Linked DNA regions of Saccharomyces cerevisiae S288C. The gene in region 1 interacts genetically with each later gene. Each region holds a gene or a part of one and is shown on either strand. Other genes may lie near its edges. The genes, in order: YNL234W, EUC1 and KTR1.

Region 1 (5,571 bases):
GTGTTTGTTGAAATCTTCATTCTCAAATTCGTTGTCATTTATTTCACTTCCGTCTTGTTCAAATGTATGTAATTGACCTTGACGCTCATCTCCGTATGTAGTAGCTCCAGCAGCGGAATAAGATTGAGTTTCTCTTTCTTTGTAACTATCCTCTTTGTTATTTCGTGTATCAAAAGTACCAGAGCGATTTACTTCATCATTTCCAACAGGTTCAGGGGTTTCTGTTGCATATGAGGCCGTTGTATCTCCCAAGTCTAGGTCTAGATTGAGATCATCATCACCGAAGTTAATAAAACTTGCAAACTCCATTATATCAGAAATTAACTCGTTATCATCATCTGCAAAAACGCTTTGCCTTTCAGAATCCTTCTTCAGAGGTTCTTCTCTTGGTTTTGGTACATCCCTTTCAACTTCAGTTTTTTCTTCATCAGAGGCCATCACTAGCTGGTCAAATTTTTGTTCAATAGACTCTAAAAATATGTCATCTTTTTTTAGTGGACCACTATCGTCCTTGATATCTAAAAAGTCCTCATTCGTGGTACCTTCGTAAGAGTGTTCTCTGGAGAAATTATCTGAGTATTCGAACCTTCCATTCTTTAAAATGCTGCTAGCAGGAGACTTCGTCAAGTCTGGAGTAGATAATACAACAGAAGATGCCTCAGTGATGAACATTCCCTCACTTTGCGCTTTGATCGATAGCGTATCTGTCAATGACCTTCTTTGCGAGTTCATTGAACTTCTCTTGTTAGACTTTGTAGATCTTGTTCTTTCTAAAGAAACGATCGAGTCGACTTCATGATTATCCAAAAATTTTGGGAAAAGAACCTCACCTGTATCGTGTTTGGAAAATGCTGGTGAGGGTGCTTCGTAGTCCAGTGATAAAAAATTATCCTTGGTTGGTAATTGAAGATCATTTTTGGCATCATCATCTTCTCTTACGTGTTCTTGTAGCGGGGTATTTATCTGTTTATCACCTCCCAATATGAGATCCATGTTTAAAGGAGTAGGTTTTCTCTGATCAATTGATCTCGTTACGTGATCTATTTTCACGGGAGTATCGTCGTGGTTTTTTCGTAGTAGAGGTGATTCAGTGGATAACACTGATGCGGCGTCAATTATTTGTTCAGTATCTTGCTTTTTGTCCTTGGATTTTGGGGTTCTTTTTTTTTGCCTCATTGGTTCCTTTCGAGGTGAGTCTGATGTTTCAATTTTTCCCTTTAGGAAGGAATTGAAAATGCTACTGCTACTGTGAGACTTCTTCTTTAGTTTTTCAGGCGTTTTTAAAGAGGTTTGAATATTCATTGAGAAAGTGCTCGATGAAGACATCTTATTTTTTTCATTCGTTACACTATTATTACCAATAACTGGTTTCGGTTCTTTCTTCTTCAGAAATGAAAATATACTCTTTTTCTTTTTATGCATAGAAGTGTCTTCAAGTACCGAGCCTGCTGAAGTAGTCCTTTGGGCAGAAGAATCAGTATACTTTCGCGCTTCTGCTTTGTTTAAACGAACTTTTGGGTTGTATAATTTACTCGAAGGAGGCGAGGGTTTCGGATCCTCTTTTAAAAATGGTGCGCTATGTGTTGTGCTTTCAGTTTCTGAATTAATGATAGTATTTTCCTCCCGCTTAACTGGTAAATTGTTGTCTCGTTCGAGAATAGTACGTCGTGTACTAACTTTGCTCCGAGGTCCCTGAGAATCAGGTTTTACTCTAGGAGTGGACAAAAAGTCAGGTTCTTCGAAAGACGGTAAACTCAAAGGGGCAACTTGAATACTATTGGATCCGTCAATGTCAATAAGGTTTGGAGAGGTCATCGCCAAGTTTTCATTTGCTTCCTCTCGTACAGACAGCCTGGATCCAGTTATATCCTCGTGATAATTGATCGAGTTGTTTTGCTCTTCGGCCTCTTCTTCTTCTTCTATTATGGAAGACTCAATATTTTGTGCCTTTCTAGTTTTTTGGTCAGCATATTTGGATCTTTCGTTCAGAATATCAGCCAATGCACTTAATGAGGGGGAAGTTGTCATATTTACCGTTTGTACTTCTGAGTCTCGGGCATTACTTTCTCCAAACGACCGCTGCAGAACTGAGCTTTCAACATCCCTATCAAGGACGGATTCGCATGGCTTTATTGATGAATTTAGACTTTGATCTGATATCTCCTTCAATATCAGAGAATTTCGAAAGGTTCTAGCATGATCAAGTGTATTTATCGACGTCGACGAATAAAAAGTAGAATTTAAAAGTTCTGAGGACTTTGAATCTGAAATACTATCCGACATATTCTGTTGAATACGTAGTGATATATCGTTATTAATAAAAACGCTGCTCGTACGGCTTTTGCACTCTGGTTGTTGAGATTTCTTTGTCAATTTATTTGAGTCGCTTTTCCTGTTGTTTATTTGCAAAGTCAAAACCTGTACTAATAAGCGAACTTGAGGGGGTCAACTCTAAGTGTGAGAATATTACACGTCTTGTTCTAAAGAAGATATAAAGCCAATCTGATTTCTTCGAATCTGAAATGATTTTTCATACTCGGGACGATAGAAGAGAGAAGTTGACTTGACGCGTCTCCGCTGACGCGCCTATATAAGACAAAGATTAGCTCGCGGGTAATAAAGAACAGGCAGTGATCTAAAGAATATATAATATAACCTGGGAAACTTATACACTTAATGGTACGGTTGTAGTTACATAATCGAGCAGTTCTTCTGCTGAGCAGTTTTTTGCAATAAATGGATTTTTTCATCATAATTATTTTTCTTGGTATTACTTTCCACGACGGTACTGCTACCGATGCTTGGTTTTGTACTTCCAGAGCCCTTTGGTGAGATTGGAGGCGTCGATTCACGGTCGCTTTTTATTGGAGTAGAAGAATTGTCTAAGAGTATTTCTGTAGGAATTTTATTTGTCGGTACTTGTGTTATATTATGAGGTATAGTAGCGTTTTTAGTTTTCACCATTTGTAGCTTGTTAACTGTACTTATATCATGCATCGCAAGTTTGGGAATGGAAAAATTTAAAACCACAGAGTCACCATTATACGAAAAATCTGGTTGAATCTTTTCCATTGGGTCCTTCCCTGCAGTAATCATACAATTTGCCAAATATGAGTAAAGTTGTCCCCATAGATTTTTGAGTTCCAGTGTGAGAAAAGATCCAAACCTGTCCTGCAATGTAGTCATAAATGCTTTTCCCATTACTTCGAAACCAACGGTTTTGATGCCGAGAATTCTGGAATGGCGTTTTCCTAATTTCACAATATAATCATCTAGGACATGAACGTTTTCAAGGTTGTCAATAGCAGAATCAAGGACCTTACAGAACGAAACTGCTTGATGTTTTAATGATGGAAAATATTCTTCTAACAAGGGATCCATTGCAATCAAATTGTCATAAAACTGTGAACAAAATAGTGCAGTATCAACCTTGTTATCATTGTCCCTTTGTTTTGTTTTACGTGGCCTGGCAGTAGGGTCAATAGTTTTGGAAATCATACCGTCAGGAGCAGTATTCAAATAGGGTCTTTCTGTTGAAGTAATATGTTTATTGGAATACAGAAGTGCTTGAAAAACTTTTAATTCTTTAGGTGTTAAATACTCCCTGAGGAGGATATCCCAGGACATTCGAAGTAACAGCAGATCTCTTGCATTAACTTTAAAGTCGAATCCTTCTGTATTCGGGGAGTCACCACGATCTATCTTGACCTGGTAGACACTACCTTCGGAACGTGAAATAGATTGTGGCATAAAATCGCTTCCGGAGTTTTTGGATGACATTTCACTTCTCATGGAATGATCATGAGAGCCAGGTCTCTCGTTTATTTTCAAATTATCGACTGGACCTATACTACTGCTGTTGTAGGAAGGCAGGGTTACGTTGTACATCATCGGTTTCGTATGGTGGACATTCCCGCTAGACATGTCGCTGTTGGTTAACAACTGCGAATGAAGTATTTTTTCTCCTGTCATACACAACCAGCTTATATGTGGATGAATGCAAACAACTGCAGCGGTCCGGTGGCGAGTCCCTTGAGGGGCAGACTCATATAAAATGGTTGCATAACGATTGCTATTTTTCAAAGGAACATTATTGCTCCGGCTCGTTCGAGCCTAAAAACCTTTTTTTTTGAAGAGGTTTTTCCGATGCCCCTTTTGCCTACGGAGTTTTCACTATCTGCCACGTAGATCGGGACATCTGCACAGAAAATTCCGTAGGAGAGAAATGCGTACCCTTGGTATTCTAGAAGAAAGAAATTCCAGACACTGTCACTCTCATTTCTTTTTATTAAGTCGAGAAGTGAAATGTTTAAAACAATTCTATACAAAACTATGCTATAGTACTAATAATCAGCCGTCCATCTCAAAAAGCATACCTGAACATATGCACAGTCTTGTATACATGGTTGGCCATCTTTTGGTTTGGATGCTAGTGGGTACAATTGTCTTATCACTCGATATTATATTTCCTGCTCTTGTGACGGAACCGCACCTACTGCATCTCTTAAGTTTCCCATCGGATATTTCTGATACACTCAGTTTGTCACAGGTTACATCGTCGTACAGTAATTTGCTAAAAGATTTGGAGGTTCTATTTTTTATGGGTAGTTTATCTGTATCAATAATTAATCCCTCTTCTAATGGTTGCAATAAATGAAATATTTCGGGATTGAAAAACTCTGAATTAGATATTTTCAAGCCACTTGTATCTGCAAAATATACTGCAGCCGCATTCGCATGGGAAATCACTGCATTATTAGCATACTGCAGGAGGAAATCTCCCACTTTGGCATATTCTGGGGGGATTTCAGCTTTCACCAACAACGAAAACTCACGTTCCTGTGATGGCTGTTGTTCGCATAGCGCGATAAATTTGTTGTTTACATCAACTAAAAACGTTTCAAATTTTTCGAAATCCACTGGTGATTCAGATAAGACTAGTTTCAAAAAAGTTGATGACTCGTTTAAAATTGGGTATGATGTTTCTGGAAATTTCGCCACTATTTGGGTGACTTTCTTGATTTCGTTAAGAATAGACAATATCAAAGTCCTGGACATTTTGGCTCCAAATATTCCGTGAACTAGTGTGTATTCCTTGTTTGTGGGATCATTTATTAAAATTAAAATTTCTTGGGTCAAATAAGTGATAAATTTGACAAACCATTTAGCAACAGGAATCAATGAATGAATGAGATCCTGTTTTGAAAATATAGTCTGGAACAACTTCGGGTTTTGTTGTTGGTTAGAATTATTACTTATTTGTTCAATCGCAAAATGAAAATTTCTCGCCACACCATTGAACGCAAACAAAACATTTTTCAAGTAGAGTATAACTCTCGCCATTTCTTCAATATTTTCTTGCGAAAAACAACTGCCAAGTTCCAGCTGCAATAGCATAATTTTTTGAAGTGGCCTACTTGTTATTATTTTATCCATAATCTCTTTAGGCGCATCAGGAGAAATGTTGAAAAACGAGTATAGGCTTTTCAACAAAGTCGTAATAAATTCTTTGGCCCTTTTTCTATCCAAGAATGAAATTCTGAGTATGTGCGTCTTCGCAGCGATGGTCAA
Region 2 (4,457 bases), on another chromosome or scaffold:
ATACCACAACATGCCTTATTTGCGCCTGGAATAACATTGGTCGCATCAAGTCTTCCGCCAAGGCCTACTTCTATGACACACCATTGGCACTGCACATCATAAAAATATTTGAATGCGGTACATGTTAATAGCTCGAATTCCGTACATTTTAAAGAGTGTGACTTGTTTAAAGCTTCTAGTTGTAATCTAATATTCTGGTATCTCTCTAACGGAATCGGCTTATTGTTGATTGTAATGGAATCAGTAACATGCACCAAGTGTGGAGTGGTAAATTTTCCAATTTGGTAGGACTTTTGTTGCAACACAGAAGATAGGTAAGTACATACTGAACCTTTACCATTTGTCCCTGCAATGTGCAGCACTCTAAGTGAGTTTTGCGGATTGCCTAAATGCTCTAGTAGTTTTGTAATACGGGAAAGTCCCAATTCAATGGCCATTGATATAGCAAAATACAATAAATACACTAGATCAACTTACTAACAGGTGACCTTATCGGTCTATTCAAAACATTTACATTATAAACAATCCTGAGTTTTTCTGCTCAATTTTTAAATAACAATTATTCATAGAGGAAAACACCCGAACTAACCAATGTTGTAGAAGGGCCTATAAATAATATATATAACACAAGAAATATGGTAACCAGGACGTAGCCACCGTATGAGAAGCTTTGAAACATCCAGTGATAAAAAAATCTTGACTTTATTTATATATATGTATATTGGACATTTTAAAAACTTGATTTAAGTCGCTCATTGCGGCGGCTTTTATATTTTGAAAGTAATCGAATGAGTACGAAAATCTGACTTGGACAGTATGCAGGCCCTCATCTTAGCGGTTTTTTGACCCAGTCGTTAGATCTGCTAATTCGATTCAAATCTTCTCATCAAGCCAGAGGCGCGCTTATTAGAAGGACGCTATCAAATCCAAATGAACAACGATGCAGGTTCTCAATACGAAGAGTGAAACGAAACAAGAAAACGAAACAATGCAGCCACCATATATACAAGAACGTCTTAAGTCATTAAATGATATAGAGACCCAGTTATGCTCCATGTTGCAGGAGGCGTCTCAAGTCACGTTCATATTTGGTGAACTAAAAAGAGGTAATGAATCAGTGAAACCCCAATTCGAAAATCATGTCAAACAGTTTTACGAACGACTAGATAAATCAACCACACAGCTACGCAAGGAGATACAGTTGTTGGATGAGAACGTTGGAACACGACTACTGCCCATCAATGTCAACAAGAAGGCCCTAGGCCAAGACACAGAAAAAATGGAAGAACAATTGGATTTATTGTCGGCTATATTAGATCCTTCGAAATCCAAGTAAACCTTAATTAGGACTAGAACACTTTTGTATCAAGTACAAATGTATAATTATATAAACATCACAGGGATATCATATTCCATATGATGATATAGCATTTACTTTACTTCAACCAGTATTGTCTAAAGAGAACGAGTTTAGTATTAGTAAAAAAATTAAAAAAAGGAAGCGTACTTGAAACTCAAACACAAACGAGAGTACAAAGGGCATTGCTAGCTTAAAATATTTAACAATCAACTTCGTCTTTTGCCAGAAGACTACATTTTGTGCCATCGAGAAGTTAGTCCAGGAGTCAACACATTAATTAAACATGCCCGCTCGAGAATATAACTATGTAGAAGGTTTTGGTGGGTACGGCTCGTTGGACGATGATGATTCAGATAGAGATTCTGAACGCAGGAATCACGATCTAGGGCAGCGAACTATAACCACAAGTCCAACAGGAGTATCAAGACATGCTGCATTAAATAGGTACATGATCCCAGGCCGTATCAATCCTCTTTTCAGACCGACAGACGCTGCTCAACCTCCCATAGTGTCTACATCCACATCAGCATCGGCAACAGAACCGACCAACAGAATAGGCCCTGGAAGGATAAAAGAAACCCCTGAAACAAATTTCAATGCATTTCTTATAGCACAACTAACCAGAATGGAGGAGCAAAATGCCAATCTGAAGGAAGAAATCAGCCTAATGAAAAAGGAACAAGAACTCTTCTTTCTAGAGAATCAAAAGAAGTTGGAGAAAGGATTTAAAGACATCAATAAGTATGTTGAAGATGTTTCCGCAATGAAAGAAGTCTTCAAAGAGGTAGTTGGTATTATGACTGGGGAGAGAATAAGATTTATAGACCATACTGGGGAAAATGTTACTCCTCAGGAAGCTGCTCGTGTTGGAAATCCATCAACAAGTACGCAAGCTCATCAAAGTCAGTCAAGATCAACAAACTGGCAAGAATATAGTATGCACGCAAGCATATTAGCCGGCGATCCTCGTATCAAGCCTGAGCCAGGGCTGTCAGACTTTGAAAATGGGGAATACGATGGTAATGAAAGTGATGAGAACGCTACCACCAGGAACCTACCTTTAAATAACCCCGATTCTGTTAGCAATGCTGATGACAGTAATAACCAACTCGATGGAACAGGAAACGAGAATGATATCAGAAACAGAAGAGGGTGCGTTGGAACGTCATATAAACTAAATCGTGCAATCCAGAACGTTACAGATGCGGCCCGTGAATACTTTGAAGGCTTACCGGGCCAACCGTCAGTTCTTTCCCTTGAGAGGAGATATGGGTCCACTTGGAGGCGATCTGCCAAAGAAAGGACTTTGTTCACTAAAAGAATGACCATCATAAAAAGAATAATAGATATAAAAGATGATCCAAGCAAATATGGTTTGTCGCTACCTGAGAATAAAATAAGTAGAAACCAAGCCATCAAGGTTGTCGAAAATATAAGATTGGGAAACAATACCTTCAAAGGACATCATTGCCGATTATCAATGTCCCAGTTATACGAATACTTCTCCAAAAAAATGGACAAACTCGAAGACTATTCACTTACTCTAAAGAGAAGAGGGAAGCCAAGAAGAATTTTCTTGTTAGAAGAGAGAGAAGCTAGATTATCATTACAGCAGCCACATAGTATACCAAATTCCAGTACAGGCACACCAGAACATGATCAAGACACTTAGAGGAAATGGAACAACGAATTTCCAGCCAAAAATTCCGAGTAGTTCATGATGAAAGATTTTTACATGCATTTTATATATAAATATATACCGTCCTATATGGATTTCATGCCAACAGGGTATATAATAGACAATTACCGGTGTACTGATATATCAACTATCGACTCCAAGCCTTTTATCTATCAGTCAATTTTACATCAAGATCCCACTTTTAGATAGGTTCGAAAATTCAATCTAATATTAGTGATTTAATTAGATGGTGGATTGCTTACCCTTTTTTTTGTCGTTTTAGGAGGAGATTCTTCGGATTTTAGGGATAAACGGATACTCCATATATAAAAAACAAAACTTCAGGCATATTGATTATCTAAAAGGAATATTCTAAAACCATAGCCATAGTAATTTATCACCAACATGTCAAACGACGGCTCAAAAATATTGAATTATACCCCAGTGTCTAAAATAGATGAAATAGTTGAAATCTCAAGAAATTTCTTCTTTGAGAAACAATTGAAATTGTCCCACGAAAATAACCCAAGGAAAAAAGATCTAGAATTCAGGCAGTTGCAGTTGAAAAAACTCTATTATGCCGTCAAAGATCATGAGGAAGAACTGATCGATGCTATGTACAAGGACTTTCATCGGAACAAAATTGAATCGGTTCTGAATGAAACGACCAAACTTATGAACGATATACTTCACCTAATTGAGATTTTACCAAAATTGATCAAACCTCGGAGAGTATCTGATTCTTCTCCTCCATTTATGTTTGGTAAAACAATCGTGGAGAAAATATCAAGGGGCAGTGTCTTGATTATTGCTCCTTTCAATTTTCCCCTACTTTTAGCATTTGCCCCATTGGCAGCAGCTCTTGCTGCAGGTAACACCATTGTTCTGAAGCCAAGTGAACTAACACCACACACTGCTGTAGTTATGGAAAATTTGTTAACCACAGCTGGTTTCCCTGATGGATTGATTCAAGTAGTTCAGGGAGCTATAGATGAAACTACAAGACTACTAGATTGTGGAAAATTTGACCTAATATTCTACACAGGTTCTCCCCGTGTCGGATCAATAGTTGCTGAGAAAGCAGCAAAAAGTCTAACACCTTGTGTACTTGAACTTGGTGGTAAATCACCTACCTTTATTACAGAAAATTTCAAAGCAAGTAACATAAAAATTGCTTTGAAAAGGATTTTTTTTGGTGCTTTCGGAAATTCTGGCCAGATTTGTGTTTCACCAGATTATTTGTTAGTACATAAATCTATCTATCCAAAAGTCATTAAAGAGTGTGAATCAGTACTAAATGAATTTTATCCAAGCTTTGATGAACAAACAGATTTCACTCGTATGATTCATGAGCCTGCTTACAAAAAGGCCGTTGCAAGTATAAACTCAACTAACGGCTCCAAGATTGTGCCTTCAAAA
Region 3 (5,356 bases), on another chromosome or scaffold:
AACGCCACCTCCACCGACAACTACTATCTTATACTCTCTTATAGTTGATTTATTTCCCTGCATGTCGTTCTAAAAAGGGAAAATTTTGTTTACCTGTTCAATCGTGAAATAGCCAAACCGAAGTCAATTGTGGCAGCAGTTAATTAAGCATTGCAAGAAAGAACAAGACAGATGATAATAGAGACACCGTACAAGAAAGAATCCAAATTAAGAGAACCATACAAAGACATAAAATATAAACCTTTCAATGTAAAACAAAAGGAGGAAAAAACCTGAAAAGCCGTGAAAAATTCATAATCTTGCGATGAGTTGAAAAAGTTTGTTGTCAAATGTCCATAGACTTACATGTAGTAAATATTTTTGGTTTCTTTTTTTTTCTTCGTGCTTTTTTTTTTTCCTACGGGTTTACATTGTGCCAATGTGAATTTCCCCGCCACTCCCTACCGAACGGGTAGCAGCGTAGAACATAGCGATCAAGGGTGTGCTAAGTGAAGAAGCAATTCAGTGCGGGTAATACATATTCCTAGCCTCGTTTGCCGTTACATTGCATTGATGGTACAATAAAGGGCATGCTTTATATCGAGATGTTTCAGTGTATATGAGGGGAAACAGAAAAGAGTCATTCCTGCCATTTTTTGGTCACTGCTTTTTCTGCTATGAGTAATGGTGAAGTTCCTTGTGGCTACACGCTTAATGTCATCGGGTTACTGCTCCTAATATCCGCATATAAGCTTTATGCAGGGATCAGTTGGGCGGCTATTTATCTACACCCAGTCATCCGGCGTGACTGGATCTCCACTTGCCGCAATAAGTCGGTGGACAAATGGAGATTTAAGAGTAAAGATGCATGATGGTATAATTCCTTTAGTCGAAATAGATATATTTCAAGCGCATATATAGGCAGACGCTTGTACTGTAGAAATAGCCGATATTCAATTGCGCTCTATGTGTGTTTTTATTCCAGGTTTTCCTTGGATTCTACGTATTGTACGACTTTCTTATCCTCCACAAACGTCATCGTGTCAGTAATGTCTTCAGACACTTCATTATCAGAATCTTCATTATTGAAAGAAGAGAGTGGGAGCTTGACCAAGTCTCGTCCACCTATAAAATCAAACCCTGTACGCGAAAATATCAAATCATTTGTGGCCGGTGGAGTTGGCGGGGTATGTGCGGTGTTTACGGGTCATCCCTTCGATTTGATTAAAGTGAGATGTCAAAATGGACAAGCGAATTCCACGGTACATGCCATTACAAATATTATAAAAGAAGCAAAAACTCAAGTAAAGGGCACATTATTTACCAATTCCGTAAAGGGGTTCTATAAAGGTGTTATCCCGCCCTTATTAGGTGTTACTCCCATATTCGCTGTTTCTTTCTGGGGTTACGATGTGGGTAAGAAACTGGTTACTTTTAATAACAAGCAAGGAGGCAGTAACGAGTTAACTATGGGACAAATGGCTGCAGCAGGATTTATCAGCGCTATTCCTACCACTTTAGTGACTGCGCCAACGGAAAGAGTAAAGGTTGTCCTGCAAACATCTTCTAAGGGCTCTTTCATTCAGGCGGCTAAAACCATTGTTAAAGAAGGTGGCATAGCTTCTTTATTTAAAGGTTCATTAGCCACTTTAGCAAGAGATGGGCCTGGCTCAGCTCTATATTTTGCATCTTATGAAATTTCAAAAAATTACTTGAATAGTAGGCAACCTCGTCAAGATGCGGGCAAAGATGAACCGGTCAATATCTTGAACGTGTGTCTTGCTGGTGGTATTGCTGGTATGTCGATGTGGCTAGCTGTTTTCCCCATAGACACTATAAAGACAAAATTGCAGGCTTCCTCCACGAGGCAGAATATGCTTTCCGCCACAAAGGAAATTTATCTACAAAGAGGTGGTATCAAGGGATTTTTCCCTGGTTTAGGTCCTGCTTTACTAAGATCTTTCCCAGCCAATGCGGCCACATTTTTAGGTGTGGAGATGACTCATTCACTGTTCAAGAAGTATGGCATATGATTAAATTTTTGTTAGGTGGACCTGCCTCCCATTTTTTTCTGGCATTCCTTTTGGGAACTTTTTGTTATTTTTTGGTTCTGCAATTTCGTTCAGTGTATGGTAGAAAATATCAGTTGGGTTATCCCGGTTTCCTTGGCGTTGTTGTCGAAGCGTTCATATTTGTAACGCAATGGAGTAAATATAAATGTGATATGTAAAAAAAAGAGTTATAATTTATTCTGTTTCTTTAAATAGTATAAATAAAAAAAGTGGAAAATACAAAGACAACGTGGGCTGATTACAGTATAATCAACCGATATGGTTTTGCCAACCAGCAGGCTTTGGCAACTTGTTTATATTGTAGAATTTAGTAGTACATGAATAACTGTGCCATGTGAAATCTTTGCTTGGATCACAGTCACATTTGTTAGCCAGTCTGATACTTGTGTCTATTGGACAGGAGTGAAATGGAACATGGTAATAACCAATATCACCGAAGTGATGGATTTCAGAGCGGTCCAAGAACAGCGCAGCACCAATAGAATGAACTGGAGCATCACCCCATCTTTCATAAAAGAATCCACCTTCACGATCTAAATAATCAAAATATGCGGAGTATGCTGGAGATCTCCACAAATCCAAAGCAGCAATTTCAAAATTAGACCAAAAATGGCACAAATTGTATGAAAGTCCCTGATCGTCGCTAACAAAGTCTAACATATTATTTTCATGGATAAGCTCAGGATGGGCTTCCATGAATTTACGAGTAGTCTCCCATAAAGTGGGGATAGTAGCTTCATACTCCTTAATGGAAATGGCAAAGGCATACTTTTTCTTATTGTCTTTCATGAATTTGAAGACATCGTAGTCGATATCACAGTGCAACTTGATATCAGGTTCCACACGCCAATACCAATCGTAGTCATCCATCAAAGGATGTCTGTAAAAGAAGCCTGATTCAAAACGACACATGTGTCTGTAAGAGATAGAATCACCGTAGATGATTCTCTTCTCACCCATCTCCTTCCTGACTTGAGCGGCCTTTTCTTCATCAATCCACTCAGGGAAGGACCAATGTTCCTTTGGGATGACACCGTATTTTGTTGTACCACTAACTAAAGCTGACGTAACGTTTTTGAATTCATCAGTGAACTCTTCATCATTCAAAAACACCCAATCATAGTTGAACTTGGAGTTAAATCTATCTTCCACGGATTTAATAGACTCAGCCAACGAATATAGATCTCTATTACGCACTAGAGTGACAAAAGTGGCCTTTTCCCGAGGACCGGTATACTTTGGTAGTTCCACTTTCGAGTATTTATAGCCCGAGCCGGAAGATAGCACGGTACTGTACTTTGGGCTTGGGGCAGAGCCTCTCGCATACTGAGCTCCATGAAAGAACACATACACAGTAAACACGGCGACCAGAAGAAGTCCTAATTTTTTGTAAACAGGCTGCTTGCTAGCTGGGATCATAATCTTCGCCATTTTGGTTATTGACTCTATCCCTTAAAAACTCTTCTGATGGAGTACTTTACTTCGATTGCTTAACGAAATCTTTGTGAGGAAAAAGATATCTCTTAAAATTAGAAAGTACAATAGTCTAGCGTATTATACTAAGAATCTGCAAAAAAGAAGCAAGAAGGCACCACCTATTATAGACCTTTGACACGAAGTCTCTCTGGAGTGCTTTGGCCTACGTGTGCGGTACTCGTTTACATGGGACAACCACGGTTTTTTTTTTGGTGTTACTGGAGGTATACAGTGCGTATATCCACTTGTACGACAAGAGATTTACACTACACCGCGTAAAGAAAACGCCGACACCAAATATAAGTCACGTGTATGCAAAGCCTATTTTATGCCCTAATTTTCAAGCCCCGGTTTTTACGCCCTAGTTTTTATATTTAGGGTTTGTCGTTGCACGTGATCAATGGTTCGTATTATGTGACATTGAAATGCTTTTTCATTTTAATTTTTTTCTTTGACGAAATTTCGTAATGTCAAGAAACACTTAAAGAAAATAAGTGATGAGGAACTCAATAAGGACACTACGTAGCGGTGCAAATACGATAGGATATTAGCCTCGAAAGGGTTATAGGGACAGAGAGTGAGCGACAATTTTTAGTCATTCATGTCTTCAAACACTTCTTCTGTGATGTCTTCTCCACGTGTCGAAAAGAGATCGTTTTCTTCCACTTTAAAATCATTCTTCACAAACCCCAATAAAAAACGGCCATCGAGCAAGAAAGTTTTCAGTTCAAACCTCTCATACGCGAATCATTTGGAGGAATCAGATGTTGAAGACACACTGCATGTTAATAAGAGAAAGAGGGTGTCCGGTACATCACAGCATAGCGACAGCTTAACTCAGAACAACAATAATGCGCCAATTATAATATATGGAACCGAAAACACTGAGAGACCGCCGCTTTTGCCAATTTTGCCCATTCAAAGACTGAGGTTATTAAGGGAGAAGCAGAGGGTGAGAAATATGCGTGAGCTTGGATTAATTCAATCAACTGAATTTCCATCTATTACATCGTCGGTTATATTGGGCTCTCAAAGTAAAAGCGATGAGGGAGGATCGTACCTATGCACATCATCTACTCCTTCCCCTATTAAAAACGGTTCTTGCACTAGGCAGTTGGCCGGAAAAAGCGGTGAAGACACCAATGTTGGACTACCCATTCTCAAATCATTGAAAAATAGATCCAATAGAAAAAGGTTTCATAGTCAGTCAAAGGGGACCGTGTGGTCAGCAAATTTTGAATATGATTTGTCAGAATATGACGCTATACAAAAAAAGGATAACAAGGATAAGGAAGGTAACGCTGGCGGTGATCAGAAGACAAGCGAGAATAGAAATAATATTAAGAGTAGTATTTCAAATGGCAATCTGGCTACAGGCCCTAACCTGACAAGCGAAATTGAAGACCTACGTGCAGACATCAACTCTAATAGGTTATCGAATCCTCAAAAAAATCTACTTTTAAAAGGACCAGCTTCCACAGTTGCAAAAACTGCCCCTATTCAGGAGAGCTTTGTTCCCAATTCAGAGCGCTCTGGTACGCCTACGTTAAAGAAAAATATTGAGCCCAAAAAGGACAAAGAAAGTATTGTTTTGCCCACCGTAGGTTTTGACTTTATCAAGGACAATGAGACTCCATCTAAGAAAACTTCTCCTAAGGCAACTTCTTCTGCAGGTGCAGTCTTTAAATCGAGTGTAGAAATGGGAAAAACCGATAAGTCAACGAAAACTGCCGAGGCGCCTACCTTATCATTCAATTTTAGCCAAAAGGCTAATAAAACTAAGGCTGTCGACAATACTGTCCCTTCCACAACTTTATTCAATTTTGGTG

What was found.
Region 2: mutations in YNL234W (region 1) and EUC1 together harm fitness more than expected from each alone (negative genetic interaction), as found in Saccharomyces cerevisiae (one large-scale study listed by BioGRID).
Region 3: mutations in YNL234W (region 1) and KTR1 together harm fitness more than expected from each alone (negative genetic interaction), as found in Saccharomyces cerevisiae (one large-scale study listed by BioGRID).

The regions. Positions count from the first base shown.
Region 1 is NC_001146.8:208,634-214,204, reverse strand, and holds YNL234W (uncharacterized protein), read right to left. Parts: upstream 3,973-5,571; coding exon 2,692-3,972; downstream 1-2,691. Other genes in the region: BNI4 (Bni4p), read right to left, coding at 1-2,283; SIN4 (Sin4p), read right to left, coding at 4,351-5,571.
Region 2 is NC_001145.3:490,979-495,435, reverse strand, and holds EUC1 (Euc1p), read left to right. Parts: upstream 1-1,643; coding exon 1,644-3,032; downstream 3,033-4,457. Other genes in the region: FOL3 (dihydrofolate synthase), read right to left, coding at 1-437; MED11 (Med11p), read left to right, coding at 941-1,336; HFD1 (hexadecenal dehydrogenase), read left to right, coding at 3,444-4,457. UniProt on the Saccharomyces cerevisiae protein: Transcription factor-like protein that binds to specific DNA motifs called ub-HS-motif associated with several locations where proteins other than histone H2B are ubiquitinated (ub-hotspots).
Region 3 is NC_001147.6:509,951-515,306, reverse strand, and holds KTR1 (alpha-1,2-mannosyltransferase KTR1), read right to left. Parts: upstream 3,483-5,356; coding exon 2,301-3,482; downstream 1-2,300. Other genes in the region: Ras family GTPase RAS1, read right to left, coding at 1-63; CRC1 (carnitine:acyl carnitine antiporter), read left to right, coding at 1,029-2,012; FG-nucleoporin NUP1, read left to right, coding at 4,129-5,356. UniProt on the Saccharomyces cerevisiae protein: Mannosyltransferase that transfers a mannose residue from GDP-mannose to a range of acceptors in vitro, forming an alpha-(1->2)-D-mannosyl-D-mannose linkage.